Oryctolagus cuniculus: one gene and its partners. The protein of the gene in region 6 interacts with the protein of the main gene of each other region in a biochemical or structural test. Links are inferred from orthologs where the notes say so. Each region holds a gene or a part of one and is shown on either strand. Other genes may lie near its edges. The genes, in order: PTPN6, SRC, SH2B3, MPDZ, GRB7, KIT and TEC.

Region 1 (3,500 bases), on a different chromosome or scaffold from region 6:
TGGCTTGACACCCTTCAGAGAGCTTCCTCTTCCTCCATGGGTCAGGTTCCCACCAGGTGATGTAAGCCCTGAAGGAGACCATGGCAGGGGGCTGGTAGTTAGGGGCTAGCGGTGTTTGGTGCTGAGCCCGCTCCTAAAACTGTGTGGTCAGGGTCATGCCTGTGTGTGGACGTTTGCCCCAGACCAGGGGTGGAGGATGAGGCGTGGGGAGTGGATCTGTGTGTGTCCTTGTCCTCATCTGCACAGGACAGGCAGGGTTGGGGGAGGGGCAGTCAGGAGCTGCGTTGGTTGCCAGGACTGCAGTGTTTGGTGCCGTGGTCCATGGGGGACACTGTCCTGTGCCAAGTGTGCTTGGCGCTGCGCAGCTGGAGGCCAGGGACCCCCTGGGGTGGAGCCAGCCTTGCACCTGCTCTCCCCCCTGTGGGAGGAGCAAGCTCCTGGGAATTCGTGGTGATAAACAGACCACGAAGATTCTCCAGAACACCTAAGAGGAGAAACCCAAAGAGGAAAACCTTTTTTTTTTTTTTTTTGAAAAAAATAATTCACATTTGATATTTCCAAAAAACGAGAAAGTAGTTGTCTGTAGAAATTAAACTTTTGGGCTTTAATATGTTGTTTTCCTTTTTTTTTTAAAAAAAGATTTATTTTTATATATTTGAAAGGCAAAGTTACAGAGAGGCAGAGGCAGAGAGAGAGAGGTCTTCCACCCACTGATTCACTCCTGAAATGGCCACAATGGCCAGAGTGGTGTCGATCTGAAGCCAAGAGGCAGGAGCTTTCTCCGTCTCCCACGTTTCCCTTATTTTTATATATATATATATTTTTATTTTTGACAGGCAGAGTGGACAGTGACAGAGAGAGAGACAGAGAGAAAGGTCTTCCTTTTGCCATTGGTTCACCCTCCAATGGCCGCCGCAGCCGGCGTGCTGCAGCCGGCGCACCGCACTGATCCGATGGCAGGAACCAGGTGCTTCTCCTGGTCTCCCATGGGGTGCAGGACCCAAGGACTTGGGCCATCCTCCACTGCACTCCCTGGCCACAGCAGAGAGCTGGCCTGGAAGAGGGGCAACCAGGACTAGAACCCGGTGTGCCGGTGCCGCAAGGCGGAGGATTAGCCTATTGAGCCACGGTGCCAGCCTCCCTTATTTTTAAATTGAGGTCTGACTAACACTTAAGGGACCTTGATGCTAAGCATCGTGCAAACACCCAGCTTGCCCATGAATTCCCCAGAAATTGCCGTATTCCCGTCACTTTACAAAAATTTGTTTTTACAATTGACATTGATTGATCTGAGAGGCCGGGATAGACAGGGTTCTCATTTGCTGGTTCACTTCCCAAATACCTGAAATGGCAAAACCAGGAGCCGGGAACTCAATCCAGATCTCCTTCATGGGTGGCAGCACCCACCCACTGCAGCCCTCCTCTGCTGCCTCTGGGGGCCTGCATTAGCAGGATGCTGGAGTCAGGAGTGGAGCTGGGATGCAGGCATCGGACCCACGGGGCATCAGCTTTGATAACGGTAAAGCCATTGCACAGCGTCCAGAAAGGTGCAAGGCAGAGGCCTGTGTCGTCCCCAGCCCTGTGCTCCCCGCCCGGTCTCCCTCTCCGGGGGAGACCCCCACAAGGCCCTTGTGCGTCTTCTGCTGAGCCCTCCTCTCACTCGGGGTTGGCGGGGTTTGTGTTGCCACCTGGAGTTCCGTGCAGGGGTCATCATAATCTTAGTGTTCAGGGTCGCTGGAGGTCAGCCGGCCCCCAGTCCCCAGGAGTTGGGCTCCCAGGCTCTGGGATAGGGTAAAGGCCTGGAGACCAAAAGTAGAAAAGACCCACATTTGACAGGGTCATCGTGTCCATCCCTCTGCCATCGAAGGCCTAGGAAGGGAGGGCGCGCTTCCCCCCTTCAAGCATCTCGGCACCCCACAGCAGCCCCTTGGGTCAAGCAGCTGCGCAGCCTCTGTTCTTTGAAGCCCCAGGGCTGGTGTGCAGTGGTTGCCATTCCTGGTTTGGGACGCAGCCAGTCTGGGTTTCAGTCCCGGCACTGGCACTTGACTAATTGGATGACCTTGGGCCAATCCTTCCACTCCCACAGCCCCGGTTCCCAGTTGGCAAAGTGGGGTCGCAGCAGGCGCCTGTGTCCTAGAGCTGCTGGGAGCGCACGCAAAGCCCAGTGAGGCCCCATGAACGAACAGCGTATTAGCGTGGGCCAGGGAGCGGATGGAGGAAGAGGAGACCATGGCAGGTTCCCAGGCAGGAAGCAGAATTCTTTGCCATGAGGTGTCCCAGGCGTGCGTGGGCCCCCTATTCATGAGCTGTCCCATCTGCCGCAGTGCCATGCCCCTGAGCCTTAGATGGCGGCCGTGTGGGAAGTGGGCCCTGCCCCCATCCCATGTCACCCCGCTCTTCTCTTGCTCTATGCTAAAAGGAGAAGTCAAGTGAGTTCCCCCAAGGGGTCGGCCGCGCCCCTTCCTGTCCCCGCCCTGCTGGCTGCGCCAGGCCAGTGCAGCGGCAGCCCCAGCCCCGGCACCGCACCGTGGGGTGGGTGGTGAGGCGGCCGGGCGCTTGGAGCCCAGTTTGAGCCTTAGCTCCAGAGTGCTCCGCCGGCCTGTGTGAGGCTGCCCTCCTTCCTTCCCTGCTGCCCCTTGCTTTCCGGAAGCCCCCAGGATGGTGAGGTAAGCGCTGGGAGCTGCGGTCAGAGGGTGGGAGATGGGGGTGCTCTGGGGCGGCCGAGGGACCTCTCCTCACCACCCTGCCCGGCCTTCCAGGTGGTTCCACCGGGACCTCAGTGGGCTGGACGCAGAGACCCTGCTCAAGGGCCGAGGCGTCCATGGCAGCTTCCTGGCTCGGCCCAGTCGCAAGAACCAGGGAGACTTCTCCCTGTCTGTCAGGTAGGTGGTCCCAGCGACGCTGCACTGGCCTAGGCCCCTGGAGCCCTCATTCCCTGCTCCCCTGGCCCCGTGCCTCTGCTGTGTCCTTGTCCCACCCCCACCCCGTCCCCCACACCTGCGCAGGCCCCCTCCCCATGGGTTCCCCGGGGGGCCAGACGCCTGGCCTCACGGCTGGTGCCCTGCAGGGTCGGGGACCAGGTGACCCACATTCGGATCCAGAACTCTGGGGATTTCTACGACCTGTATGGAGGGGAGAAGTTCGCCACGCTGACGGAGCTGGTGGAGTACTACACACAGCAGCAGGGCGTGCTGCAGGACCGTGACGGCACCATCATCCACCTCAAGTACCCGCTCAACTGCTCCGACCCCACTAGCGAGAGGTGAGGGCCCTGCAGCCGGCCCCTTTGGCCCGCCCCGGCTCAGGCCTCTGGGCTCCGCTTCTCCCTCTTATGCTGCAGCCTTGCCCTTCACCGGGGTCCTCCTGGTGGCAGGAAGCCGCCCCTCGTGGCGGCCGAGCCCATTGTTAGAAAGCTTCCCTTCTGTGGAACTGAATCTGCCTGCTTATGACCCGGGCCCCTACAGGCGAGCTGTGTGAGCTGGGCTCCGGGCAACCCAGTG
Region 2 (3,500 bases), on a different chromosome or scaffold from region 6:
CCCCTACACCCTGCTCCACACACGGGGCTTCCCGGGGCCTGGGGTGCTCACTGCCCCTTCATGAGTCCTCAGAGAGTCCTCCAGCCTGGTACTGTCTTTCTAAAAAATTTTATCATTTTTATTTGTTTGAAAGGTAGAGACAGAAATCCTCCATCTGCTAGTTCACTCCCCAAATGCCCACAACAGCTAGAACTGGGCTGAGCCGAAGCCAGGGGCTGGGAGCTCCATCCGGGTCTCGCCTGTGGGTAGCGGGGGGCCGGGAGCTCCATCCGGGTCTCGCCTGTGGGTAGCGGGGGTGCCGGGAGCTCCATCCGGGTCTCGCCTGTGGGTAGCGGGGGGCCGGGAGCTCCATCCGGGTCTCGCCTGTGGGTAGCGGGGGGGCCGGGAGCTCCATCCGGGTCTCGCCCGTGGGTAGCGGGGGGCCGGGAGCTCCATCCGGGTCTCGCCCGTGGGTAGCGGGGGGCCGGGAGCTCCATCCGGGTCTCGCCTGTGGGTAGCGGGGGGCCGGGAGCTCCATCCGGGTCTCGCCTGTGGGTAGCGGGGAGCTGGGAGCTCCATCTGGGTCTCGCCTGTGGGTAGCAGGGGCCCGGCCACCTGAGCCATCAGCTGCTGCCACCCACAATGGTGCATTATCAGGAAGCAGGACTCGGAAGTGGAGCTGGGACTTGAACCTGGGCACTTTGATACGAGATGTGGACATCCCAAAGTGGTATCTTTACTAGTGCATCAAATGCCCTATCCCTCCCCCACTGCATTGGCCGCAACTTCTGCATCTTTAACACGGGCCGAAGAGTATGGCCAGGGGCAGCTCAGAGAAGCTGGGAGTAAGGGTCCTGGTTCGAGTGGAGACCGTGTGACTGCAGGCGAGGGGCCTCTGTATTTCTGTGTGGCGGTGGCGGTGGGCGCATCCTGCCGGCGTCATTCAGGGCCAAGGTGACGTCCAAGACAGCCTTGTACTGACGAGAGCTCAGCAGACTGTCAGGTCCTTCCTCACCCAGTAGGGAGGGGTCCTCCTCCTTTGGGGCTGGCTGTGTGACCTTGAGCAGAGTGCTTTGCTTCCCTGGCCTCAGTCTTCCCATCTGTACAGTGGGAATAGGATGGGGGCTGAACCCTAGTCCCCGGGCTGCCCTGCCCATCGACCTCCCAGCCCCGCCCTGTGGGTTGCTTTGGATGCGAGGCCTCTGTGGCTGCCCCGTCTCTGTCCCCAGCCCCGCCTGGCTCTTCTGCCCCCTCCCTCGCTCTCTCTGCCACTCGTTGCCGCTCACCACCCCCATCTCTGCCTCTTCTCTCCCGTCGGGCTCTCGCTTTCTCCTCCCTCCTCTGTGTCTCTGGACCCCCGCTCCAGCCAGACCTGGTTCACATTCAGATGGCTGCAAAGGTACTTCCGCCCCTACCCCCTCCCCAGGTCCCAGGGCTCCTCCTGCCCCTGTCCCCGTCCTCCTCTCCTCCTCTCCTCCTCTCCTCCTCTCCTCCTCTTCCTCCTCCTCCTGGGGCAGTTAGTACAGAAGGGGCCTGGGCAGTGGGCTGCGCCACCTCGACCCCTCTGACGAGATCGCTGTGTGACTTTGGGCAAGTCGCTGCCCCCTCTGGCCTCAGTTTCCCGTGGCAGATGGGTAGGCTGCAGGAGGGGCCTGTAGTTTGCGGCTGAGGACCCTGTAGGCGTGAGCCATGGTTTGTGACAGGCAAGCACTGCTCTGCTCTGCAGGCTGGGGCCTGGGTTGCCCCTAAGGGTGCCCCTTGGCCTCCACCCAGGTCTCCCCAGCTCCTGGCGTCTGGCTTCTGAACCTCAGGGCTGGGGGAGACTCGGAGGGTGGAACCTGACGTTCCTCTTGGGCGGGAGTCTTCTCTCCCATTCCAGTGTTGCCTGCCCCCGAGGACCAGGAGCGCCCTTCTGAAAGGCCTGGCCTCTGCTCCGTGCACGGAGACCCTGGCTGCCTTCTGGCCTGGGAGGGGGGCTGCAGGCCAGCTCCATGGGGCAATGCGAGAGCTCCCCTGGTCCCAGCCTCGCTCACTGCAGGAAGCCAGCGGCCCTGGGCTGGCTGCTGACGGCTCCCTTGGCTCCGTGCTCTCCCCTGTGCAGGGAGGGAGACTGGTGGCTGGCCCACTCGCTCAGCACGGGACAGACCGGCTACATCCCCAGCAACTACGTGGCGCCCTCCGACTCCATCCAGGCCGAGGAGTGAGTATCTTCCTGGGCGTCTGCTCACCACTGCTCCTGGACTGCTGGGCGAGGTTGAGGGGTCCAGGGCTGGCGGAAACTGGACTGCTCACCGCTCGTCCCTCCCTCCCCAGGTGGTACTTCGGCAAGATTACCAGGCGGGAGTCGGAGCGGTTACTGCTCAATGCAGAAAACCCAAGAGGGACCTTCCTGGTGCGCGAGAGTGAGACCACGAAAGGTAGCAGCATTCCTGCTGGCCAGCAGAGGCTGAGTCTTTTGTGGGTTCTTGGGGCTGGGTGTTGCAGAATGAATAGGAGTTTGGGGGTAGAGAAGGAAGAGGATGAAACGGCAGGACAGAAGTCAGGCAGGCGCGTGTCTAAGTCAGCGGTGGGAGACGGGGTGCAGCAAGAGGAGAGACGAGACTTCCGTGGCCTCAGTTTCATCAGATGAGGACGGGCCCAGGTTGTCATGAGGTCCAAGTGTCACAGCACAGGTTTGTTCCCAGAATGGGTGCGGATGCAGGGGGCCCTCTCTTCCCCTTCCCCAGGGGCCTCTGGGGCTGCAGTGAGTGCTGGGAGCCGGCCTCGGCCTTCCCTGGCCAGTCCTGGCCCCGCCCCTCCTTGGGAGGGGAGGAGGGAGGCAGAGCATCCAGGCCAGGTGTGTGCGTTTGAGCCCTCAGGCGGCTTTGTACACGTGGGCACCCCTGTGCAGGTGTGTGCCTATGTGTGTGTGTGTGCACATGTGGAGGTTGGGACTGTGGGTTCGTCCTCACGCTTGGGGGCCTGGGGAGTGTGTGGCTGCTGGGTGTGGGTGTGCCAGCAGGTGTGTGCACCTGTGTGTGTGTGCATGTGCGTGTGCACACACCTGTGGCGGTCACTGCCAGCTGCAGCCTCGGGCCTCTGCTCCTGCCTGCCCTTGGCCCAGGCCACCTGCAGAAAGTCACAAGACACTCAGGAGGCGGTTCAAGGCCCGGCTCGGTCCTGACTCACCGAGCGACCGGGGGTAGCCGCATGCTGTGTTGGCACCGCGGGTGTTACCTGCCTGAGTGCGTCCCTGGGAGTTCGGTGGCCGGGAACTGCCTGCCAGGCCCCAGAGAAGGCCTCTGCCCCCAGGACCCAGTGCTGCCCCCAACACCGGCCAGGCATCTCCTGGGCAAGGGTAGCATGGGCTGCCAGCCAGGCTGGGCACCAGGAGGGCCACCGTCTGGCCACACACAGCACGTGGTCTCCTGCCTGGGCCTGACCTGTCTGCAGAAGGGGCCGGGCGTGGACTGTGTCCCCAAGGGCAAACCTGGGAGCGAGGGGCGCATAACCGCGGGGGCCGTTCCCAGACTCCCAGAAAA
Region 3 (4,124 bases), on a different chromosome or scaffold from region 6:
CAGTCCTCTGTGGCTCCCTCTGGCTGTCGTTGCTATTGTTATGTTAATAAGCACGGTGGCAGCGTGGATCACCGCGCAGCGCTGTGCTGAACTCGGCCGCCCGTCCGCTCATGGCACTGACCACTGCTGCTTCGGTGGTCCTTACTCCCGCCTTGGGAACGGGGACACTGACTCGCTCGTGGCCACTGGCCCCGGGGCTCCCCGGCCCGCGTAGCGGCCAGGCCCCGGGCGCTGGCCCCTTCAGCTGCACCTGACGCCCCCGCTCCGCCCTCTGCCCGGCGCACCCGCGGCTCCCCGGCGGCGCGGGGCGGGGCGGTTCGCGCGTGGGTGGGAACCCTGCGCCTGTCCGAGGGAAAGCGGCTCCGGCAGGGGCCGGGCCCGAGCCTGATTAAAAGGGGAACAACCGCAAGTCCCCGTTTAAGTCAGCGGAGCTGCCGTCTGGGCGGCGAGAGGGAAAGTGCTTGCGGCTGGCGCGGCGCAGCAGCCATTTGGCACGGGCTGGGGGTGCCCCGGCGGCCGTGCGGCGCGGGGAAGCGGCTGCTCTCCCGGCCTCCGTGCGGCCCAGCCTACCTGCGGCTTGAGGCCGTCAGTGTGGACCCCTCGGCCCCCTCCCCCCTCGCCCCGCGTCTTCAGAGGCCGGAGGTTCCCGCAGGGGTCGCCAGGGTGGGTCCTCCTGCCCGCACCCTCGGAGGGGCGGCTGCGCGCGGCCCAGACTCCTCCCCCCGGGGCCCTTGGGACCCCGCGAGCCGGGCCTGCCTTTCCCGTCTCCCCTCTCACCCCCGCACCTGCTGCTCCCGGATCGCCTGCCCTCCCCTCCCCCGGACGGCCTGGGGCCCTGTCCGGGCAGGTGCCCTGTTCAGCATTGGTTCTGCGGAGATGCCCGAAGGAGCCGGGTGTCCAGGCGGGTGCAGGGCCGAGCACGTGGGCCGTCCCCGCGGCTTCCCCAGGCCACAGCGGGAGCTGCCCCTCCCCCAGCCACTTCCTGGTCTCCGAGCGCCCCGTGTCCCCTCACCGCAAGGCAGGGGTACTGGCTTTGCCCCTGCTGGGCCCCCAGCACCTAGAACAGTGCTCGGCACAAAGTAGGTGTTCAACACGTCCCTGGAACAGCACACTCTCGGGTCTGCAAGGTCACTGGGCTGGAAACCCCCACCACCTGGGGAACCCCTTCCTGCGGGCGGGGGGCGGGACCCCGGGCCGCTCAGTTCCCCGACCGCCCGGGCGCCGGGCGCGCGCTCACCTCGGCCTCGAGGGATGGAGTCGGCTCGTCCGGCCCAGGCCAACGAGCGGTGGGTCGGAGGAGCACCGGGCCCCTCCAAGTGGGGGCGTGGGCGACTGGTTTCCTGTTGGGGGAGGGGAGCGCAGCCATTCCCGGCGCCCCTGTGCTGCGCTACCTCCACGCCGCCCCGGGGAGACCCGCCTGGTCGGCCTGGGCTCCAGGAGGCCCTAGAAGAAATGTGAGTAGCCTGGGGGCGAGCAGAGGCCCCGGGGCAGCAGTCCAGGAAGGCTTCCTGGAGGGGGGGCGCGGCCAGGTAGTGGCGTGGCGCTGGGCTCAGGCGCTCGGGACGCGGCAGAGCGGTGCTGAGGCTGGGGGCGCTGAGGCCGAGGCGGGTCGGCTCTGCGGAGCCGCGGAGAGGCGGGAGCGGGCGGGCTGGGCCCCCTCCCCAGGCGATGATGAAAGTCCAGGTTGATCTTGCGCTGCCGGGCCCGGCAGGCGGCGATAAGGCCCTCAGGGCGGGAGACAGCGGTGGGTGCGCCCCCTGTAGGCCGCACAGCTCGGCGGCCCCTCCCCAGGCCCCGCCTCCCGGCCTGGCCCCGCCCCCGCCACGCCGCGGCGCCCTGTGGCCTGCAGGCGTGGGGTGGGTGGGACCCGGGTTGCCCCGCCCCCCCCGCCGTTCCTTCCCTTCTTTAGGCTGCGCGACGCGAAATTTGGTGGGTGAGTTGTGGGCGTGGCTCGGTGAGACCCCCGCCTCCCGCCGGGCTCGCACCTCCGGATCTCAGGGCCCGGCCCCCGCGGAGGCGCTGGGCAGTGGGCGGGGCCACCTCGGACCCCGCCCCTGGTCCCTCCCCTTCCACAGAGCAGCGGGTTCGCCAGGGCGTGGCTCTCGGCGGCCCCGCCCCTCCAGGCCCGCCCACTCCGGGAGCCGCGGGTTCGCCGGGGCGTGGCTCCCCGTGGCCCCGCCCCGCCGCCCTCCCACGCCGGGCTCGGCTCGCACAGCCGGTTCCTCTTTACATAACGGCGCGGGGCGGCATGGGCCCGGGCCACCGCCTCCGCCCGGCCGCCCGCCCGGACTGTCGCGGCCCGCGGAGGCCACGGCGGCCGCAGCGAAGTTGTCCCGGCGGCGTCCCGGGGGCGCATCCTCTCGCAACTGTCAGGCGCTGGCGGCGGAAATGATGAGGCTCTGGCCATCTTCCGAGCCGGGGTTTCCTGCCTGAGCCCCGCTCGAGCGAGAGGCGAGCGAGGAGCCGACGCGCCCGGGGCGGGGGCCCGCCCGCCCCCTCGAGGTCTCGGGGGGCCGGGGCGCGCGACGCCATGGGCCGGCCGGGCCCGTGCCCCGTCTCTCTCAGGTAAGCCCGCCTGCCCGCCGGGCTTGGGGGCGTCCCGGGGCAGGGGAGGCCCCGGGGCCGGCCCTGCGCGCCCTCAGCCGCCCTGAGCGTGCCCGGCTCGGACTCGGGGGGCGCCGAGGCAGGGAGGGCCCTCCGCGGGTTCCCCACTACCTGCAGCCCAGCCGGCCAGGCACAGCGGTCCCTCGGCGGGAGCCGGGAAGGAGGGGTCGGGGTCGGGGTCGAGGTCGGGGCTGGGGTCGGGGTCGGCGCCGTCTGGGGAGAAAGCGTCAGCCTGAGGCCGTGTGCGCGCGTGCAGGGAGCAGCACCCCCCCGACCCCGGAGCCCAGGCCCTGCCTGGGGGATGCCCCCGCCCCGCTCTGCACTGCCCACGGGTTAGGGTCCTGGAACCGGGGCCCCTTGACCACCCTCGGCCTCCCCCCAAGACTCCCAGGGAATACCCCACCAGGCCGAGGAGGGGGTGTCGGCCTGGGGGGGCACCAGCGGGCGGCTGTGGGCTGCATTTGAGGAACTGGGGAGGGGTCCGCCCGGCCGCCCGCCGCTCGGCTCCCTACAGTTTCCTCATTCTCCTGTTTCTCTTCCCCATTCCCGGGCCACTGCGAGGTAGGTGGGGAGGTCAGTGCCTGCAGCTGGGGCCGCGGAGGGGGGAGGGAGGGCCGGCCCAAGTGGCGCATCCTTGACACCTGGCTGCCTCCCGTTTACAGCCTGGCCTCGGGCTCCTGCCGGGGCGGCGGGCAGGGGGATGTCCCCGGGGGGCGCGGGCCGGGTTAGGTCTGGATTTCCCATCGGTGACCCGGCCGCTGGAGTGGAGCCGGGTCCAGGGCGTCCCGGGGACCTGGAGCCCTGGCCCTGATGGGGGCGAGCCGGCTCAGGGGACCAGAGGCCAAGGCCCCCAGCCCGCAGGGAGGTCGAGCGGTCGGTCATCGGTCTGCTTGCTCGCTGCGTGCCTTTTCCCACAGCCCCCAGTGGGAGGGAGAGTCCTGCTGAGCCGCAGGGTGCGTGCTCCTGGCCGGTCCCCCAGGGCCGCTGGGGAGGGGCTGGCCTGGGCCGGCGGAGGAGGAAGAGAGGCTGGTGGGGCCGGCGCCTGAGTCCTCCGCCCCTGAGCGGGGGCGGGCAGGTGGTCTCCCTCTGTCCAGCGGGCTGACAGGTTTGCGGCCTGAGCAAGGCACCTGCCGCTCAGCTACAGGTGGCCGCGCGCGTCTCGGCCTCACCGGCGATAGCGCTGTTACCGGCTGTGGGCCGTGGGCGCCCTCTGGGAGAGTCCTGAAGCCCCGGGCAGGGTGAGGGGAGGGCGCTCTCTGGCTCTGGCCTCCGTTCCCCGCTAGGAAGTGGGTCTGACGACTGCACCCACCACAGGACCGCCGGCACCCTGGCTGAGCGGATCCGCAGAGCACCCAGGGCGGTGCGGCCTGGGGACAGGAGGGCCTGGGGTTGGCTTTCGCTGCTGCCCAGGTCACCTCTGCTCGGCCTCCTTCTCGGGACTCTGTGGTCCTGCTGGCCACAGGGCTGCCCAGCCTCGCGTCCTCCCGCCCGGCACGAGAGAGACACACTTCCCCGGGGGA
Region 4 (4,010 bases), on a different chromosome or scaffold from region 6:
TATCAATTTTACCAGATTAAATATAATTTCCCAATTATGTTTACATAAATTCTCTCATGCACAACACTAATTTCCAAGAGAAAATTAATACCTTTCTCGTTTAAATGAAGCTGATAACATAGGGAACAATGCAACAATTTTATCAAATGAAATCCTACTTTAAGCCAAATGCCTATGGTTAAAAGTGCATATACCTGGGAACTTCACCCCTGCACATGCACCAGGAAGCAGTCTGGGAAGTTGTCTACTCCTTCCCTTTAAAGTGTAGGATCTCTCTGGCAGAGGTGTGGTTTGCTCTACTTTATTTGGGGGCATTTCCAGCCCAGTGCATCAACTTTGCCTCAAAACATTTTATGAGAATCATAGAGTACTTCATGCATATTATAAATACACAGAATGGAGCCCACCTACAACTCAACTCAAGAGAGTCAAACCTATGTGTCAGATTTGGGAAGTAATCTGGAGAAAATAATCTGCCTCTAGCTCAGGACAGCTATCTCCCAAGCCAGCTTCTAAATCCCTTAATCCCAGCTCTAAACAATGAGTCCTCTTGGGCCTCATTTGTAAACAGCACTTGCTGACTCTAGCAGCTAAAAACTGACAGTTCCTGACCAGGCCTAAACCAAAGCAAAACTACATTTGTAAGACTTCCATGAATCTCTCTGAGCATCTTCAACTTGTAGAGATACTGTGATCTCTGGGAACAGTTCCTAGTCCCAAATAACTACCTGCATTTAAAAGACATCTGAAATGCAAAGATGTCTTGAAGGGTCAGGCGGGGCCTCGTCCATGTTGCACAAATTTGGAGCACTGTGCAACCTCACTAAACATCTCACCCTTCCCATCAGCCTTCAGTGATCAAAGGAAGGAGTGTGGAACAGGAATACAGAAAACCAGAAACAAGAGAAGGGAGATGAAACGAAGGAATACATGTTAAGAGAGATAGTGCACCTATGACCCACCAGTAACATGTTGGGAGTAATCTTTTTATTTTAGCAAAGGAAGAAGAGCAGGGGAGAATTAAGTGGCCTTCAAAATTAGTGTTACCTAAGTTGGCATGCAAGGGCACTGTGGCATCCAACAAGATGCAGAACTTCCAGGTGTGTTAGGTTTTACATTGCAATCGTTCGCCTATGTTCTAGCAGGGGCTAAGGCATATATTACAGAAATTTAGATAATTCGATCCGTGCAAAAGTTCATAGCATTATAACCCAAGCCGGGTTATCAGAGCACAGCCCTCTGGAATGGAATCAGTGTCCTTAGATGAGGTGCTATTTACTCTATAGAAAGACACCTAAAAGAGCATTGTCTATGGAAGCACTAAGGGGTGTGTACGGCAAGAGCTGCCTGCCAGCACAGAATGACAATTTGGTCACTCTGCAATTTCTTCCCCTCTTGGCAGCCAAAAAACCTGGAGCGGTTTTCCTTCCACGTTGGTGAAGCCTCCCTTATCTGATGACACAGATGAAACCCGAGCCTCCAACCACAGCCCCTAGGCACAAAGCTATGCAGCGCCCCTCGCCATGGTCTCCCCCAGCAGAGCCACTTCAGGAGCTCCACACGCCCGGTCCCGCAGCCCCGAGCCCCCCGCCCGGCGGCAGACTCAACCTCCCACCCTCGCGCCGCCGCTCCTCCACCCCCCGCGGTCCCGGCTTCCATTTCCATGTGATCCCTGGGAGGAAGGGCCGGGCCTGTGTTTCCTCTGCAAAGAATGCAAGCAAAAATGTACTCCATCACCACCCCAGACCCAAGCACAGCCCCACAGGATGAGAAGCATCTCCCAGACGCGGCTCCCCTAGGAACGTCCGGCATCTCGCCGCTGCGAAGTCGTAGACAAAGGCGCCCACCGGCGGGAGACGGGATGAAGGGGGAGGCCAGTGCAAAAATGTCCCAGCCAGAGCGGCAGCTGATGAAAGGCCACGGGCGCCACGGGGTGTGGGGGCGGGTCCCAGCTGCGGGCTGGCCTCGGGGGTGGGGAGAAGTCCCCCGGTGCCAAGGCAAGGGACGCCAGGCTGGGGGCTCTACCCACCCGGCACAGCTCCGCCCTGCGTAACGGGGGAGCCGCAGCAGCGGAGAGCAACAGGCTCCCGCACTCCGGAGGGCCCGGTCCGCGCCCCAGGCGCCCAGGCCTCCAGGAGAAGGAAAACAAAAACTTTGAAACCCTTTGCGACTCCGCGAGAGCCAAAGGAGGGGGTGATTGTCGCGGGGAGAGGAGGCGGCGTGCAAGTAGCAGAGGAAACTTCAGACCCCATCCCTAAAAAAAAAAAAAAAAAAAAAAAAAAAAGAGCTAGGGGACAGGGGCGCCCCGGCGTCGGGCCCCGCGGGGTGGGGCGAGCGCACCCGGCCCCGCCGCCCGCTGCCGAGCCCCCGGGCGGCCGCGCACCTTCCCGGCGGGGCTCGCGCAGACGCGGGGGCGCGCTGCGGCCTTCCGGCCGGGTCCTCGGCGCCGCTTACCCGGCTCGCGGCGGACGCGAGAGGGGCGGAGGGCTGGGGAAGCCGGGATCACCGAGCACTCGGGCTGGCTCGCCTCGCCCACGCACGCTCTCTTCTCCTCGTAAGTAACGGCCCGGCGAGGAGCTTCGGGATAAACGCGCGCACACACACACCCCCACACACACACTCACACTCACGCGTGACCGAGAAACTTAATCCCGCGCGGCCGGCCGCCGGCGGCCAGACGCCAGCCTCGCGCTCCGCCGCTTCGCCGCGCCCCCTCCCCCGGCGCGCGCCGCACTTGCGCCGACCGGGGCTGCCGCGGAGGCGGTGGCGGGGCCAGGGCTGCCGGGGCTGCGGTGACGCCGGCGACCGGCGGGGCGGCGGGCGGCCTCAGCCAATCAGGGGGCGCGGCCCAGCCCGCTGGTCCTGGGTTTTAAACTAGCTCCTGGGCGGCCGGAGGATGAGCGCTCTGTGAGGCTGTGGGGCGCCCAGTTAGTGGATAATTAGGATTTTTGTTTTTAATGATTTTTTTTTTTAGTATAAGTATGACCTATGCAATGTTTGGGATATACTTATACTAAAAAAAAGGTACTTGTTCATCTGAAGTTCGATTGTAACTGAGAATCTTGTTTGTGTTTGCTGAATCTGGCAACTTGTGAGAACTAGTAGCCTTTAGGTGTAGTTTTTGACAGCGTTGTTGTTAGATGCACTGCCCTGGAAGTGCCTTCTGCAGGATAGCTGAAGTGGCGCCGCTCTGTAACGAGCACCGGAGGAGTAATCTCACTTTTTTTTTCTTTTCTTTTTTTTTTTCTTTTTTTGACAGGCAGTTAGACAGTGAGAGAGACAGAGAGAAAGGTCTTCCTTCCGTTGGTTCACTCCCCAAGCGCGCTGATCGGAAGCCAGGAACCAGGTGCTTCTCCTGGTCTCCCATGCAGGCGCAGGGCCCAAGCACCTGGGCCATGCTCCACTGCCCTCCTGGGCCACAGCAGAGAGCTGGACTGGAAGAGGAGCAACCAGGACAGAATCCGGCGCCCCAATAAGGACTAGAACCCGGGGTGCTGGCACCACAGGCGGAGGATTAGCCAAGAGTAACTTTAGTGCATCGATGTGTATTCTTAGATTGATGATCCAATAACAGCTCAAAAACGGTGAACACACAGAAGGATTCACAGTCACTGGTGCCAGGAAGAGCAGATAATTCATTTCTATTTTGCGCCTTTTAATATTGTCTTTCAGAAATTCTCAATTTGAGAGCTCTGTAATTTTATGTGTGTGTGCGCGCAAAGGGAAATCGCTTCCTTTTTCATTCCATATGTCTAATGTTAAAGTATACCATCAGAGGATACTCAAAAGTCCAACATAAAATATTTGAAAGAATTTCTTTTAATATTCTCTGTAAGCCATGTAATTTCGTCAGATTATCTTTTGTATGTCTACTAAAAATCAATTTGCATTTCTCTAACATCAAATATTTAAGGGGAAACTAAGTTTGTAAGATATACAAGACTTCAGAGGGAAATGGATTTTTTAAAAGATTTTTTTATTTATTTGAAAGTCAGAGTTACAGAGAGAAG
Region 5 (4,062 bases), on a different chromosome or scaffold from region 6:
GAGAAGGAGTGGCTTTCCATCCACTGGTTCACTCCCCAAATGGCTGCAATGGCTGTGGCTGGGTCAGGTCAAACCAGGAGCCTGGAACTCCATCCACGTCACCCGTGTAGATGGCAGGGACCCAAGCACATGGGGCATCTTCTGCTGCTTCTCCAGGCCCATCAACCGGGAGCTGGATTGGAAATGGAGCCCCTGGGACTTGAACCATTGCTCCTATGGGATGTTGGCATTGCAGGCTTCACCTGCTGAGCTGGTCCTATCTTATGTGTATGGTTCTTTGATAAGGGTGGTCTCCCTGAGTGGGCAGCATGAGGACAAGGGCGGGGCCTGTTTGTGCTGTTCCCCACAGCATCCCCAGCACCAAGCAGAGGGCTGACACCTGGGGCTCAACAGTTGAATTGGCTGCGGTGCCTTCCCGCACCAGGTGACCTTTGCCCCTCCCCCACCTCTTGGCTCCTCCAACCCCTCCCCTCCACTGGTTTTTCAAGGAAAACCAAAGTTGGGAGAAAGTTGAAGCCACAGCCACCCCTCCGTGCTCCCCCAGGGCAGGTCTCTTATCACCCCTAGGATTGTTTGTTTTTCCAACTGTCACCCTCATCAAGCTGGGAGGTGGCTGCCGCCTTTGATCTCTGCCTCTCGCCCCCCTCCTGCTACCCTTGTTTGCCGAGTGCCGAGGGAGAAGTCTAAAGCCCTGGCCCTCAGAGCAGTGCCTTGGGCGAGCCAGAATTCCTAGATGGTGGTGGCTGCTCCCACGGTGCAACCCTGCCTGGCCCCTTCGATTCAAAAGGCGGCAGCTGAGATGAGACCCTGGATTTTGCTCGGGAGGGAGAGCAGAGTCTGAGCGCCTCTGAGGAGCCAGGGCACAGCCTAGGTGGCCAGACCGTGGCCGGAGGTCAGAGGCCAGGATAGGCTGCTGGACACTCCCCTGGCTGCCTCCCTCCTTCTCAGGGTGCCCTTTGTTCCAGAGGGTTGGTTCAGAGCTGGGGACGGGCTCCCTGCTCGGCCTACGGGGGCAGATTGGGCCCAGATTCACCTTTCTCTGCCAGCCCCCAAACCTTCCCTCCCAAGTGGTCGGGACTCTTGATCTCGGCTTTCCAGGCTGCTCTGTTTGCCAGGTTTCCCTGCCTCTCCCCAGGCACCTGTCGCTGGGCTAGGAAAGGGCGAAAACAATCCCAGCCCAGCCCTCAGAGAGCCCAGGAGTCTCCGCCCCCTCCCTGTGCTTCCTTCTCCCAAGCGCCTCCCCCAGGCCCCGCCCCCACCTGCCCAAGATAATTTTAGTTTCCTTGGGCCTGGAATCTGGACACACAGGGCTACCTCCTTCTCCCCCGACTTCTACGGCCAAAGTCGGGACATCTTCCTGCCACCCGCAGGGAATCGGGAGTGAATTTGAAATCCAGGGGCCCGAGGCTGAGCCAGACTTTGCACGCAGTGTCCTGCCACCCCTGCGGGGGCTCCTCCAGGTAAAGGGACCACGATCGGGTCTCAGACGACCACTCGCTTCTACCCTCAGCCGCACCAGGGCCCAGGCTGTGCCCATCTTGTCCGAGCTGGCCAACTGCCCTCCTTGTCTGCTCGGTGATGTCAGGCCAGGAGCAGGGTGTGTGTGTTTGTGGGGGGGCGCTGGGTGGGGGGTGGGGACAGGTAGTTAAGGGCCTGGCATCTCTCTCCCCCAACCAGTGGCCCCAGCCAGGTGTACCAGTGCCCTGGGTACAGTTAAGGACCAAAGCAGGTGCTTCATCCAGAGGTGGGCTGCACGGGCAGGTCTGGGGTAATTCTAGAAGATTCGGTCCCCTGCTGTGCCACTCAGACCACCTCACACTTTCTCTTTTCCTTCGGTTTCCCATCCTTGCCCCATTTCTGGTTCCTGTCCTCTTCCTCCTCCTCTCTCCGCACGCCCCCTCCCCCATACATGCACAGACCTGTTTGTGGGGATAGGAGGTCTGGGATTTTTCTCCTCCAGCTTTCCCGCTGAAACCGGCCCCTCCCCATACACAGAGAAAGAGCTAGAATGGGGGGGGGTCTGAATCCCGAGGGAGCTGCCTTCACGCCCTTGCTCAGCCCGATTCTGCCCCATCTGGGTCCCCTCCCCACGTATCTATTCAGCCAGTCGGACTAGGGGTGCCCCCACCATGGAGGGCGGTGCAGGAGAGGGACTCTGGTCACTGGGGCTCCTTCTCCATGTTGCAGTCCCTGCTTGGGACACAGCGCACTGCCTTTGCCTGGGCAGGTGGGGGGCAGGTGGGGGGCAGGCAGGCCCATGGTGCCCTCGGGCTGTCCGGTTGGGTGCCGAGGGGTCTGGGCGAGGAGGGAAGGGCAGGTGGTCTTGTCTGATGAGTCTGGGGAGAGACCCAGCCTCGGAGCCCGGTCTCCCTGGTAGAGTGGGGACAGAGCATGCACCTGTCTGCCCGGCTGCACCCTGGGCCCCCAGGACGGCCCTGGCTGGGCCTGGCGGGGTTCTGCCCGCCTGTCTCCCGCTGACATCCTGCTCTGTGGGGAGGGACCTCCTTGAGTGCACAATAATGATTAACTCCACCCGGGAGACTCTAGCATTCTTCCCAAATTAAACTTTAAAAGAGTGCCCCCCCAGTAGGTGTTTTTCCCGAGTGAGGGAGTGGGCGGGGCCTCAGGGGCCCTGGGTCCTCCCCTCAACTGCAGGTCACCGGGGAGTCTCCCACCTCACCTGGTCTCTGGCCCTAGGAGCTCCCCCGAAGGTGAAGCTTCCCCCACCACATTCTGTAGCGGTGGGGGTGGGGCGGGGAGCACGGGCCCCCCCGGGGACCGCCCGCCACACCCCAGCCCCTCCCCCCGCCCTGGGAAGCTCGGACGGTGGCCTTGTTTTCTGTCCGCCCTAAACACCGGGCCCTGCCCCCTGCCCTTGGGGCCAGCCAGGTGGGGCAAGATTCAGGAAGTAAACAAGGAGGCGGCGAGGGTGGCAGGAGGGTGGTGCTGGCGCGGTTAGGGCAGGGAGGCAGCCCGGGAAGCGGTGGCCTGGAGCTGCCGGGTTGGGGAACCAGTTGGTCTGGGGGCTTTCTCCAGCGGCAGCTGGAGGGGGCAGCGCAGGCCTCCCAGCTGGCCTCTGCCTTCCCGCCCCTCCCCAGCCTCGGCCTCGGCCAGTCTGCCGGAGGCCCTGGACCCCTCCCACCTCAGTCCCCCGCCCCCAACACTGCTCTTGGGGATCCCTGCTGCTGCCCTCGGACTTCGCGGGGAGGCGCAGCCCGGCAGCCCCTCCCCCAGTCTTCCTGCAGCGAATTCCTGGGGTTTGTCCGAGGTTGGGGGGTGGGAGTGGGGCGCTGGTGTCTGGGGACGCTGGGTGGGGAGTGTGGCTCGCCCTTCCCGCCCCGCTCTCTCTGGGGTCCTTTGCTCTGTCCTCTCTGGTGTTGGGCCTTTCCATTCCTGCTGTCCTGAGGTCCCAAGGCTGGAGCCACCTCCTCTGAGCAGCCTTCCTGGGGTTTCCACGTGCAGACTGATGGGCTCCCTCTGTCCAGAGGGTGTGTTATGGGGACCCTCATCCCCCAGGCTGATGTGGACAAGTCCTCTGGACCAGGGACACCTAGCAACAGGACCAGGGCCAGACCCACGGTGTGGGGAGGGGGCAGCGGGGGCTGGGAGCCCAGCTTTCTTGGGCAGGGGCCCCCCAGCTGGGAAGTCAGCTCCATTCCAGATGACCTCGCAATCCAGGCCTGGCATTTCTTCTCCCCCTCCCGGGCCAGGTGGTGGCTTGGGGCTGAGGGTGGGCAGACTTCAGCTCCCACCTGGGCTGGAGGTGGGCCAGGGGTGGGGAGGAGAGGGTGACATCAGTCAGAGGCAGCTCCAGCCGGCATCCTCCTTCTCTTCCGTCCCGCCCCACCCTCCCCCGGTAGCACAGGGGAGAGGGGTGCAGCCTTGTTTGCGTTTCTCCTCAGCCAGGAAGTGCAGATGAGTCAAGTTGCATGGAGAGTCCCAGGCAGTGCCATCCTGCCCCGCCCTGGCTCACCTGCCCCCCAAATTCCCTTCTGCCCTCACTGAAGTGTCAGGCGCTCGCCCCACTCTGAGTGTGTGTGTGTGTACGCGTGTGTGTGTGTG
Region 6 (4,099 bases):
TGGGGTGCAGGGAGTCCCCTCCACCGGACCCCTCTGCGCTCGGTGCGCACTACGCTGTAATGGTTATAATTGGCCTGGCTCTTATCTCCTGCACATCAGGGCTGCTGGCGCCTTTTGATCCGAGCTGTGCCGTTGGTGCCTCCGGGGAAGTGTTTATCCGGGCGGCAAACAGGAAGTGGGAAGACACTTTTGGCTCCGGCCCCGTCGGTTGGCGGGGGCTTCCTTCTGTGTGCGCGCGGACAGGTCTCCCACGCACTACATGTTTGTTTTCTGGTTTTCCACGGCCCTAGAAGTCTATGCTTGGGGCCTGACCGTTTAACCTTGGCGTGGACAGATTCCCACTGGACTGAAATGGCACCCATGGACTCCCGGGCAGCCCCAGTGCACCTGCTGTGGTCTTGCCCGACCTTGGGCTCCTGCACGATGCCACCACCGTCCTGCGCCAGGACCGGGGTTTCCCGCTGGAAGCAGCCCGCTGCTGGGGCGTCCCTTCGGCTCCTGCCCCTGCCCCTGCCCCTGCCCCAGCTCAGCAAGGCCCAGTGTGCCTCGCCCTTGTGCCGTCGTCCCACTGCTCCTGGCCGCCCCCTGCCCCTTCTCCCCAGCTCCGTGGAGGGCTCCTCTCCTGCGCGGGTTGGCTGCGCGTCAGCCTCTGGTTTTCTCCCCGTGGTGAGGTCACAGTGACAACTCCTGCGGGTTGTAATTCACAGACGGATTGGAGGATGCGCAAATCTGCTGGTGTGAGTTTTCTGAGGTCCAGGTTTCGCGGTCGCTGTCTGAAGCTTGCATCTCATGACTCGTGCCACAGAGCATCTCACGGTCTCCTCTTTGAAACAGGGTTGCGTTTCTGCCTTACCGTGTAGGTTCGTGGCTAGTTGTGTCAATGAGCAAGCACTACCGTGTAAGGAGAGCTCCGTGGAAGCAACTGGATGCACAGAGCCTTCAGAAAAAAACCAAGAGTGTCGTGATCACGGGCACCCCGCCGAGAGGGGCGGGCCAGTGGCTTAGCTGTTTCTTCTCCCTCGTGGTGTGAGATTTTTGTTTTCGTGCTTCCTGAGCTGGATGGCGGCGTGTCAGGGCCATGGCAACAGCCGGTATTCCCAAGGGCAGCCGCCCGGCCGTGCGTTTAACCCGAGGGGAGCCGTGGCATCCAGCTAGCCCTTCCCTGGACCCCAAGTGTGACTCCCAGCAGAATTGCGAGTTGCCGAAAATAGCCCGATTTTCGAGATGATCTTAGCAAACTTTGGACGGAGCTCTCTTTCCAGCCCTAAATAGCAGGACAGCCTTGTCCTATTTTTATTGTAGCGCACACAGAAGATGGGGCTCGCGTTGGAAGAAATGCTTTTTTTCCGCCAAAGAAGCAGCTCGCACTCAACGAGATCTTGGTTTTTCTTGGCAGGCTCTTCGCAGCCATCTGCGAGCCCAGGGCAGCCGGCTCCCCCCGTCATCCAGCCAGCACAGCCGGAGCTGACCGTGGATGCCGGCAGCAGGTTCTCGCTGGAGTGCATCGACCCGGGCTCCGTCAGGTGGACTTTCGAGAGCCTGGGTCAGCTGAGTGACAGCGAGCACAGCCAATGGACGCGCGAGGAGGCGGAGGCCGCCAACACGGGCAGGTACACCTGCACCAACGCGGGCGGCCTGAGCAGCTCCATCTACGTGTTCGTGAGAGGTGAGTGCCCGGCTTTCCGTGACGCTGCCCTTGATCTTGACACGCAGATGCCGGAGCGATGGAGTGTCGCCCGCTCGCTGGGTCGAGATGCCCGAGACAGAGGCCTCTCTCTGTCCCGTCTTTGGCTGGCACTGGCTCTGGGGCTGGGGGCCACGGGGGCTGTGAGCCTCTTCCTGCTAATCTGCTCAGTCCCTTGGCCCCGTAAAGTTGATTCACTTAAAAAATCGTGACCTCTTGGCAACAAAAGAGAAAGACACAGGGCAGGTGGATGTCTGTGCCTCGCTTCCTGTGGCTAATTCGCCCGCCCGTGTTTGCTCTTTGCAAATCTTTGTAGAGACCAGGTTTGCCAGAAGGGGTGTGTCTTCTGGTAGCTGACGGCTTGGGAGACGACTTCTCGTCCTGAGTGGGTGTGGATCGCAGCTGACACTGAAACAGACCCGAGGCGAGAGGCCTTAGCCAGGGGGTCCTGCACAAGTGATGGGGGTGACTGTCCTCGGTGGGAGCCCTGAGCCGCCCCCTGCAGTGCCCGGGTGAGCTCACTGCTCCGTCGTCCTCACCGAGTGACAGATGCGTGCACGCCCTGTGACCTGCAAACTGGCCGTGACATCCAGGAGTCCTGTCCTGCCTGAGTGGGCAGTGGGCCAGAGACGGGCGCCGACGAGATACTGTTTAGCTCTGCTCGGGCTGTGCTGTGCCACTGAGCCGGGGCCTCCCCGAGCTCTCACGGGAGTCCCGGCTCGGACGAGAAAGCGTTTGTCCTGCGTTCATTCCTGACACCGATGAGCCCCCTCCCCTTGGTCTGCAGCGACGGGGTTTGCGGAAGCCCTGCCCACACGGGGCCCAGGAGGACGTGCAGAGAGGGGCTCGCGCGCTGCCTGCACTGGGTTCCGGGGCTCCTCCCCGACAGCAGCTGTCACTGTCACCCTGGTTGTTACCCCTCTGCAGCCACTCCTGTGCTGTCACCTCTTATGGAGAAACAGCTTTGCTATCTTCAGATGCTCTGGGGGTCTTTTATTTTTATAAGGTTAATTAATGTATTTGAAAGTCAGGGTTATAGTGAAAGAGGCAGAGACACACATGCACACACACGCACACACACACCATTCGCTGGGTCACTTCCCACACGGCCCCAACAGCTGGGGCTATGCCGGTCCAAAGCCAGGAGCTTGCACTGGGTCTCCCACCTGGGGCACGGGATTAGCCGGGAGCTGGATCAGACTCTACCTGCTGCTCTTATGGGATGCCGGCGTCCCAGGCAGCGGCTTGGCTTAACCCTTGTACTGTAACGCCGGCCCTGTAGCTTTCAGATTTTTGGATTAGGCTTGCTCAGCCAGGAAAGTTTATGCAAATATCCCAAAATGCTAACGTCTCTGAACTATGAAACACTTCTGGTCCCAAGTGTTTCCGTCGGAGATTCTCGGCCGGCAGCACCCATCACACAGGGGCCTATGGAAGATTAAATAAGATAAAAAAATGGGTGGTGGCTCAGGCTTAGTGCCCGGCTCGTGGAAAGTGTCTTAGGCGTGTTAACTCTTTCTCGCCAGTCCCGTTTGCATGTGCTCCAGTTCTGGCTGTCACGCTGCCTGCCGTGTCAGCACAGCCGCGCAAGCCACTGACGCCCAATGTGTTTGTAGATCCGCGGCAGCTGTTCCTCGTGGGCCTGCCCCTGTACGGCCGAGAAGACAGTGACACGCTGGTCCGCTGTCCGCTGACCGACCCGGACGTGACCAACTACACCCTCAAGGAGTGCGAGGGGAAGCCTCTCCCCAAGGACTTGACCTTCGTCCCGGACCCCAAGGCCGGCATCACCATCAAGAACGTGAGGCGCGCCTACCACCGGCTGTGCCTGCGCTGCGCCGCCGACCGCGAGGGCACAACCGTGCAGTCGGAAAAATTCATCCTGAAAGTGAGAGCAGGTGGGCCCCCTTCCCTCCTTCCTCTCCCTGAGGGTCGGCCCGCGGGCGCTGGCCCCTCCCCGTGGGCTGTTCCCCAGCCTCGCGGGAGCACCGGTGCTGGTGGAGCCTCTGTTGGAGAGGCCCAGCCCCGCACCCCTGGACCACGGCCACCTCTAGCCGAGGCAGGTGCGTCTGCCATGGACCGGCATCCGTGCTGGGCACGGTCATTACCGGCTGTGCCTGCATCAAGTGCTGCTTCCCAGAGACCCCCTGGACAGCTCCCACCACACTGTTGGCAAAGCTGAGTTGTTCGTTTTGATTGGCTATTGCACTCTCTCCCGCTGGTTGACTGCAATGCATCCTGGGACCGCGCGAGGCCTGGGGAGGAACGTGCAAGCTGACCGTGAACTTGTCATCATGTGGCATCCTGCAGTGTTTTGGTGGCTGGGATAATCCAGGTCTCTGTATCTCAGAGGCCATGTGATTCAACACCAGCTGTTCAGTAGGTTTTTTTTTTTTTTTTCTTTCTTTTTTTTTT
Region 7 (4,078 bases), on a different chromosome or scaffold from region 6:
AAATGGCTGGGACGGCTGGAGCTGGGCCAGGAGCCAGGAACTTCTTTCGGGTCTCCCACATAGGTGCAGGGGCCCCAGCACTTGGGCCATCTTCCACTGCTTTCCCACGCACAGTAGCAGGGAGCTGGATCAGAAGTAGAGTAGCCGGGACTCAAACCAGTGCCCATATGGGATGCCGGCACCGTAGGTGGTGGCCTAATCTGCTGTGCCACAGTGTTGACTCCACGTACACACATATTAAGTACTTTATCCTGTGGTGGCTATCTAAATGTCGGTATCACTTATTTATGTAAAGTTGGCTTTCAGAACTTCTCAATAAAATAGAAAAAATTAAACAGTGACTTATTTTATAGAATATGATTTCTCAGATCATGGAATTTTCCACACATGATTTTGAGATTTAATGCTCAGCCATCATCCCCAACGGAGAACTGTTTAGTGTGAGGATCTCTGGGCAGGGGAGGTATGGTGAAGGGAAACGGAGGGCTCTGTAAAGTACTGTACTTCTATTCAAAGCTTTCAAAAATTCTGGAATGTCTGTGAAACCATTCTTCAATCCTAGAAGGATTGAAGGGTTCCAACATTATTTTCTTGTTTGTTTCTAAAGGTTTGGACCTCATGTATGGAATGGAGTTTTGTCCCCTCATGGAAATGTGTTTTTGATTCTGTAATTGAATACAAATAGACAAATTGTTTTAGCTGAAATTTATCTTAATTTCATCTATTTGCTTAGAATGCATCTAGTCTATAAAGTGAAGAATATAAGTAATTGTCATTTTCCTGTAACTAAAGCTATTGCTTTTCATTTTAACTTCATTCCTACAAAGTAAAGGATTCCTAAAATACTCAAAATTAAAACTCATGATGGGGTTTTAATTCTCAAACTGACTCAGAACTCACTATAACACTTTTGAATATGAAATAGTAAATGTATACCAGTTTTACTTTCATTTTCTATTTGTGATTCTGATCAAAATTAAGATTAAAAAATTTCATGTGCATTTTATGAGTAAGGAATTGTTAAGATCAGAGTGTGAACACCTGTTTTTATACATGTATTGGCATATTTCTAGCTATCTGTCAAAATTCTGTTCATATATTGTCTCCTCTTTGAAGTGGTTCACAATACTTTGAAAAGGGGCCATTGGTTCCTTTTCAGTCATCACATATTAGTGATTCTTAGGGGATATGAAATGATTTCAAGATAATCTGCACATATCACTTTTACATTTAACAGATTGTAATGTTGCCCCCCCCCCTTTTTTTTTTTGAAAGGCATAGAGACAGAGGAAGAGAGAGGGTGAGAAAGAGACAGAAAGCTCTTGTCACTCTTCAAATGCCTGCCGTGTCTGGTGCTGGGCCAGGGCTGAGCTGGGGCCAGAGCCAGGAGGTGAGAACTCAGTCCAGGTCTCCCACGTAGGAGGTGGAAACCCGGTTACCTGAGCCATCAGCACTGCCTCCAGTGTCCGTGTCAGGAAGCTGGAGTCAGAAGCCAAAGCTGAGACTCAGAGAGGCACTCCAGAGTGGGAAGTGGGTATCTGAACTGCTGTGCTAAATGCCAGCTCCTGCTATTTGTTTTTAAGTAACTCCCATGCTTCTCTAAAGATCCTATCTTGTTCATCTTTGTAACCACCTGAATGTCTCATGTGTTTTTCTTTCTAAAGATATATTTTATCTGTGAAATGCAGAGCTCCAGAGAGGCAGAGGCAGAGAGAGAGGTCATCCGTCCTCTGGTTCACTCCCCACATGGCCGCAATAGCTGGAGCTGAGCTGATCGGAAGCCAGGAGTCAGGAGCTTTTTGCAGGTCTCCCACAAGGGTGCAGGGCCTCGAGCACTTGAGCCATCTTCTACTGCTTTCCCAGGGCACAGCAGGGAGCTGGATTGGGAGTGGAGCAGCCGGGACATGAACTGGCGCCCATATGCGATGCCGGCACTGCAGGTGGCGGCTTTACCCGCTACGCTACAGTGCCAGCCCCCCATGTATTTTTTTTGATACATGATAGCTATGTGTAAATGACAGAATGAGTAAATACATGAATGTTGGAAACTGTTCCTATGGGCAGCTTGGCTCATGAACTGAACACGGTAAAAGGATGGGTGGGTGAGAGAGAGGAAATATTTGGGGTGGGAAGAAAGTTGACAGGGGTTAAAGGTGAATGAAGTAAGAGTGATGTAGTCAGGAATACTTTAGTGTATGAGCATGTCTTGGTTGTTTCTCTAGTGCTATGTAAAACACACCCCAAATTTTCAGCACACAAAAGCAACCAGTTCATACATTCTGTAGGTTGAGAATTAGTGCACAGTAGAGATGTCTTGTTTCACTTCTACAGAGTCTAGGCTCCTACTTCAGAAAACTTCCGTGGCTGGGAATGACTTAAAGGACTGGGGGCTGGAGCCATCTGAAGTGTTCTCACCTGGATGTCTGCCTTCTGTGCTGGCGTGATTTAAAGGCTGGGCTCAGCTGGCATTTGCCACTGGATACCTCCATTTGGGTTATCTATTCGGCAGGGGCTTCTTTATGATGCCTGGCTTCCAAGAGGAACCATCCAAATAACCAGAGAAACCTGGTTATGACTAACCCATGGGAACCAGGCAGAGCTAATTGGCTTTCTATGACCTGGAGTCCAAGGTCACATAGTATCAGTTCTGTTGCACTGTTTCAGAGGAGCCACAAGCCCTCTCAGATTCAAGGTGAGGAAACATAGACCTTAACTCTTCATGGGAGGAGTATCAGTGAACTTGGAGTGATTTTGTTTTAAATACTGGACCAATTACAATGATGGGTAGAGAGAAGGACAGAAGAGTACATTGTCAATGTACTTCATCATAGGTAGGACATATGAAAATGTGTCTGGACACTATCAAAATAGTAGTTAGACTGTGGCTTATAACCATGACATTAAAAAAATGGGAGGCAGAGAGGGAGAGAGGGGGAGAGGGGGAGGGGGGAGAGAGAGAAGAGGGGGGAAGAGAGAGAGAGAGAGAGGGAGAGGGAGAGGGAGAGAGGGGGAGGGAGAGTGAGGGAGCAAGCAGGTGTGCTCCCATCTGTTGGTTTACTTCCTAAATGCCTCCCCTGGCTGGGGCTGGGCCAACTCAGAGCAGATCTTCCATGTGGATGGCAGGAACTGAATTACTAGAGTCATCAACACTGCCTCCCCTGGACTGCACTGACAGGAAGTTGAGGTTAGGAGCCAGAGCTGGGTATGAAACCCAGTACCTGGGGCTGGTGCCGTGGCTCACTTGGTTAATCCTCCGCCTGCGGCGCCGGCATCCCATATGGGTGCCAGATTCTAGTCCCGGCTGCCCCTCTTCCAGTCCAGCTCTCTGCTGTGGCCCAGGAGGGCAGTGGAGGATGGCCCAAGTGCTTGGGCCCCTGCACCCTCGTGGGAGACCAGGAAGAAGCACCTGGCTCCTTGCTTCGGATCGGTGCAGTGCTGGCGATAGCGGCCATTTGGGGAGTGAACCAATGGAAGGAAGACCTTTCTCTCTGTCTCTGTCCCTGTCTATAACTCTACCTGTCAAATTAAAAAACAAACAAACAAACAAAACCCAGTACTCTGTTGTGAGATGGGGATGTCTTAACCACTAGGCCAAGAGCCTGATCCCTATAACATTTTTTTCAATGTAGCTTGTAATTTTTATTTGTTGCAAAAGATATATGAGAATGTTTTCTAGAAATTAGCTTTTTATTGGTTTATTTTTTCCTCTTAGAGATCAGGTAAATAACAGCTTGCATTTCAGTCTGGGAAAAATATCTTCATTTTTTTTTAAAGATTTATTTATTTACTTGAAAGTCAGAACAGAGAGAGGAGGAGAGGCAGAGAGAGAGAGAGAGAGAGTGAGTGAGAGAGAGAAAGAGAAAGAGAGAGAGAGGGAGAGGTGTCTTCCATCTGCTGGTTCACTCCCCAGATGCGCCAATCTGAAGCCAGGAGCCAGGAGCTTCTTCCGGGTCTCCCACACAGGCGCAGGGGCCCAAGGACTTGGGCCATGTTCTACTGCTTTCGCGGACCATAGCAGAGAGCTGGAACAGCTGGGACTCCAACTGGCACTTATATGGGATGCCGGCAGTGCCAGCGG

The links.
Region 1: the proteins of KIT (region 6) and PTPN6 form a complex in vitro, tested with the Homo sapiens proteins (2 studies listed by BioGRID). The link is inferred for Oryctolagus cuniculus from reciprocal best matches to the Homo sapiens genes KIT and PTPN6.
Region 2: the proteins of KIT (region 6) and SRC form a complex in vitro, tested with the Homo sapiens proteins (3 studies listed by BioGRID and IntAct, with this or other methods). The link is inferred for Oryctolagus cuniculus from reciprocal best matches to the Homo sapiens genes KIT and SRC.
Region 3: the proteins of KIT (region 6) and SH2B3 form a complex in vitro, tested with the Homo sapiens proteins (2 studies listed by BioGRID and IntAct, with this or other methods). The link is inferred for Oryctolagus cuniculus from reciprocal best matches to the Homo sapiens genes KIT and SH2B3.
Region 4: the proteins of KIT (region 6) and MPDZ form a complex in vitro, tested with the Homo sapiens proteins (2 studies listed by BioGRID and IntAct, with this or other methods). The link is inferred for Oryctolagus cuniculus from reciprocal best matches to the Homo sapiens genes KIT and MPDZ.
Region 5: the proteins of KIT (region 6) and GRB7 form a complex in vitro, tested with the Homo sapiens proteins (3 studies listed by BioGRID and IntAct, with this or other methods). The link is inferred for Oryctolagus cuniculus from reciprocal best matches to the Homo sapiens genes KIT and GRB7.
Region 7: the proteins of KIT (region 6) and TEC form a complex in vitro, tested with the Homo sapiens proteins (2 studies listed by BioGRID and IntAct, with this or other methods). The link is inferred for Oryctolagus cuniculus from reciprocal best matches to the Homo sapiens genes KIT and TEC.

The regions. Positions count from the first base shown.
Region 1 is NC_091440.1:102,590,789-102,594,288, reverse strand, and holds part of PTPN6 (tyrosine-protein phosphatase non-receptor type 6), read left to right. Parts: intron 1-2,488; exon of another isoform or gene 2,489-2,658; coding exon of another isoform or gene 2,659-2,666; intron 2,667-2,759; coding exon 2,760-2,882; intron 2,883-3,067; coding exon 3,068-3,262; intron 3,263-3,500. UniProt on the Homo sapiens protein: Tyrosine phosphatase enzyme that plays important roles in controlling immune signaling pathways and fundamental physiological processes such as hematopoiesis.
Region 2 is NC_091442.1:21,177,336-21,180,835, reverse strand, and holds part of SRC (proto-oncogene tyrosine-protein kinase Src), read left to right. Parts: intron 1-1,345; coding exon 1,346-1,378; intron 1,379-2,080; coding exon 2,081-2,179; intron 2,180-2,292; coding exon 2,293-2,396; intron 2,397-3,500. UniProt on the Homo sapiens protein: Non-receptor protein tyrosine kinase which is activated following engagement of many different classes of cellular receptors including immune response receptors, integrins and other adhesion receptors, receptor protein tyrosine kinases, G protein-coupled receptors as well as cytokine receptors.
Region 3 is NC_091452.1:8,856,855-8,860,978, forward strand, and holds the start of SH2B3 (SH2B adapter protein 3), read left to right. Parts: upstream 1-1,324; 5' UTR 1,325-1,454; intron 1,455-2,424; exon of another isoform or gene 2,425-2,565; intron 2,566-4,124. UniProt on the Homo sapiens protein: Links T-cell receptor activation signal to phospholipase C-gamma-1, GRB2 and phosphatidylinositol 3-kinase.
Region 4 is NC_091432.1:176,108,203-176,112,212, forward strand, and holds the start of MPDZ (multiple PDZ domain protein), read right to left. Parts: upstream 2,801-4,010; 5' UTR 2,631-2,800; exon of another isoform or gene 2,455-2,630; intron 1-2,454. UniProt on the Homo sapiens protein: Member of the NMDAR signaling complex that may play a role in control of AMPAR potentiation and synaptic plasticity in excitatory synapses. Promotes clustering of HT2RC at the cell surface.
Region 5 is NC_091448.1:22,659,110-22,663,171, reverse strand, and holds the start of GRB7 (growth factor receptor-bound protein 7), read left to right. Parts: upstream 1-1,262; 5' UTR 1,263-1,460; intron 1,461-2,785; exon of another isoform or gene 2,786-2,889; intron 2,890-4,062. UniProt on the Homo sapiens protein: Adapter protein that interacts with the cytoplasmic domain of numerous receptor kinases and modulates down-stream signaling. Promotes activation of down-stream protein kinases, including STAT3, AKT1, MAPK1 and/or MAPK3. Promotes activation of HRAS.
Region 6 is NC_091439.1:109,621,477-109,625,575, reverse strand, and holds the start of KIT (mast/stem cell growth factor receptor Kit), read left to right. Parts: upstream 1-1,299; 5' UTR 1,300-1,314; coding exon 1,315-1,666; intron 1,667-3,300; coding exon 3,301-3,582; intron 3,583-4,099. UniProt on the Homo sapiens protein: Tyrosine-protein kinase that acts as a cell-surface receptor for the cytokine KITLG/SCF and plays an essential role in the regulation of cell survival and proliferation, hematopoiesis, stem cell maintenance, gametogenesis, mast cell development, migration and function, and in melanogenesis.
Region 7 is NC_091433.1:41,420,261-41,424,338, reverse strand, and holds the start of TEC (tyrosine-protein kinase Tec), read left to right. Parts: upstream 1-1,278; 5' UTR 1,279-1,336; coding exon 1,337-1,390; intron 1,391-4,078.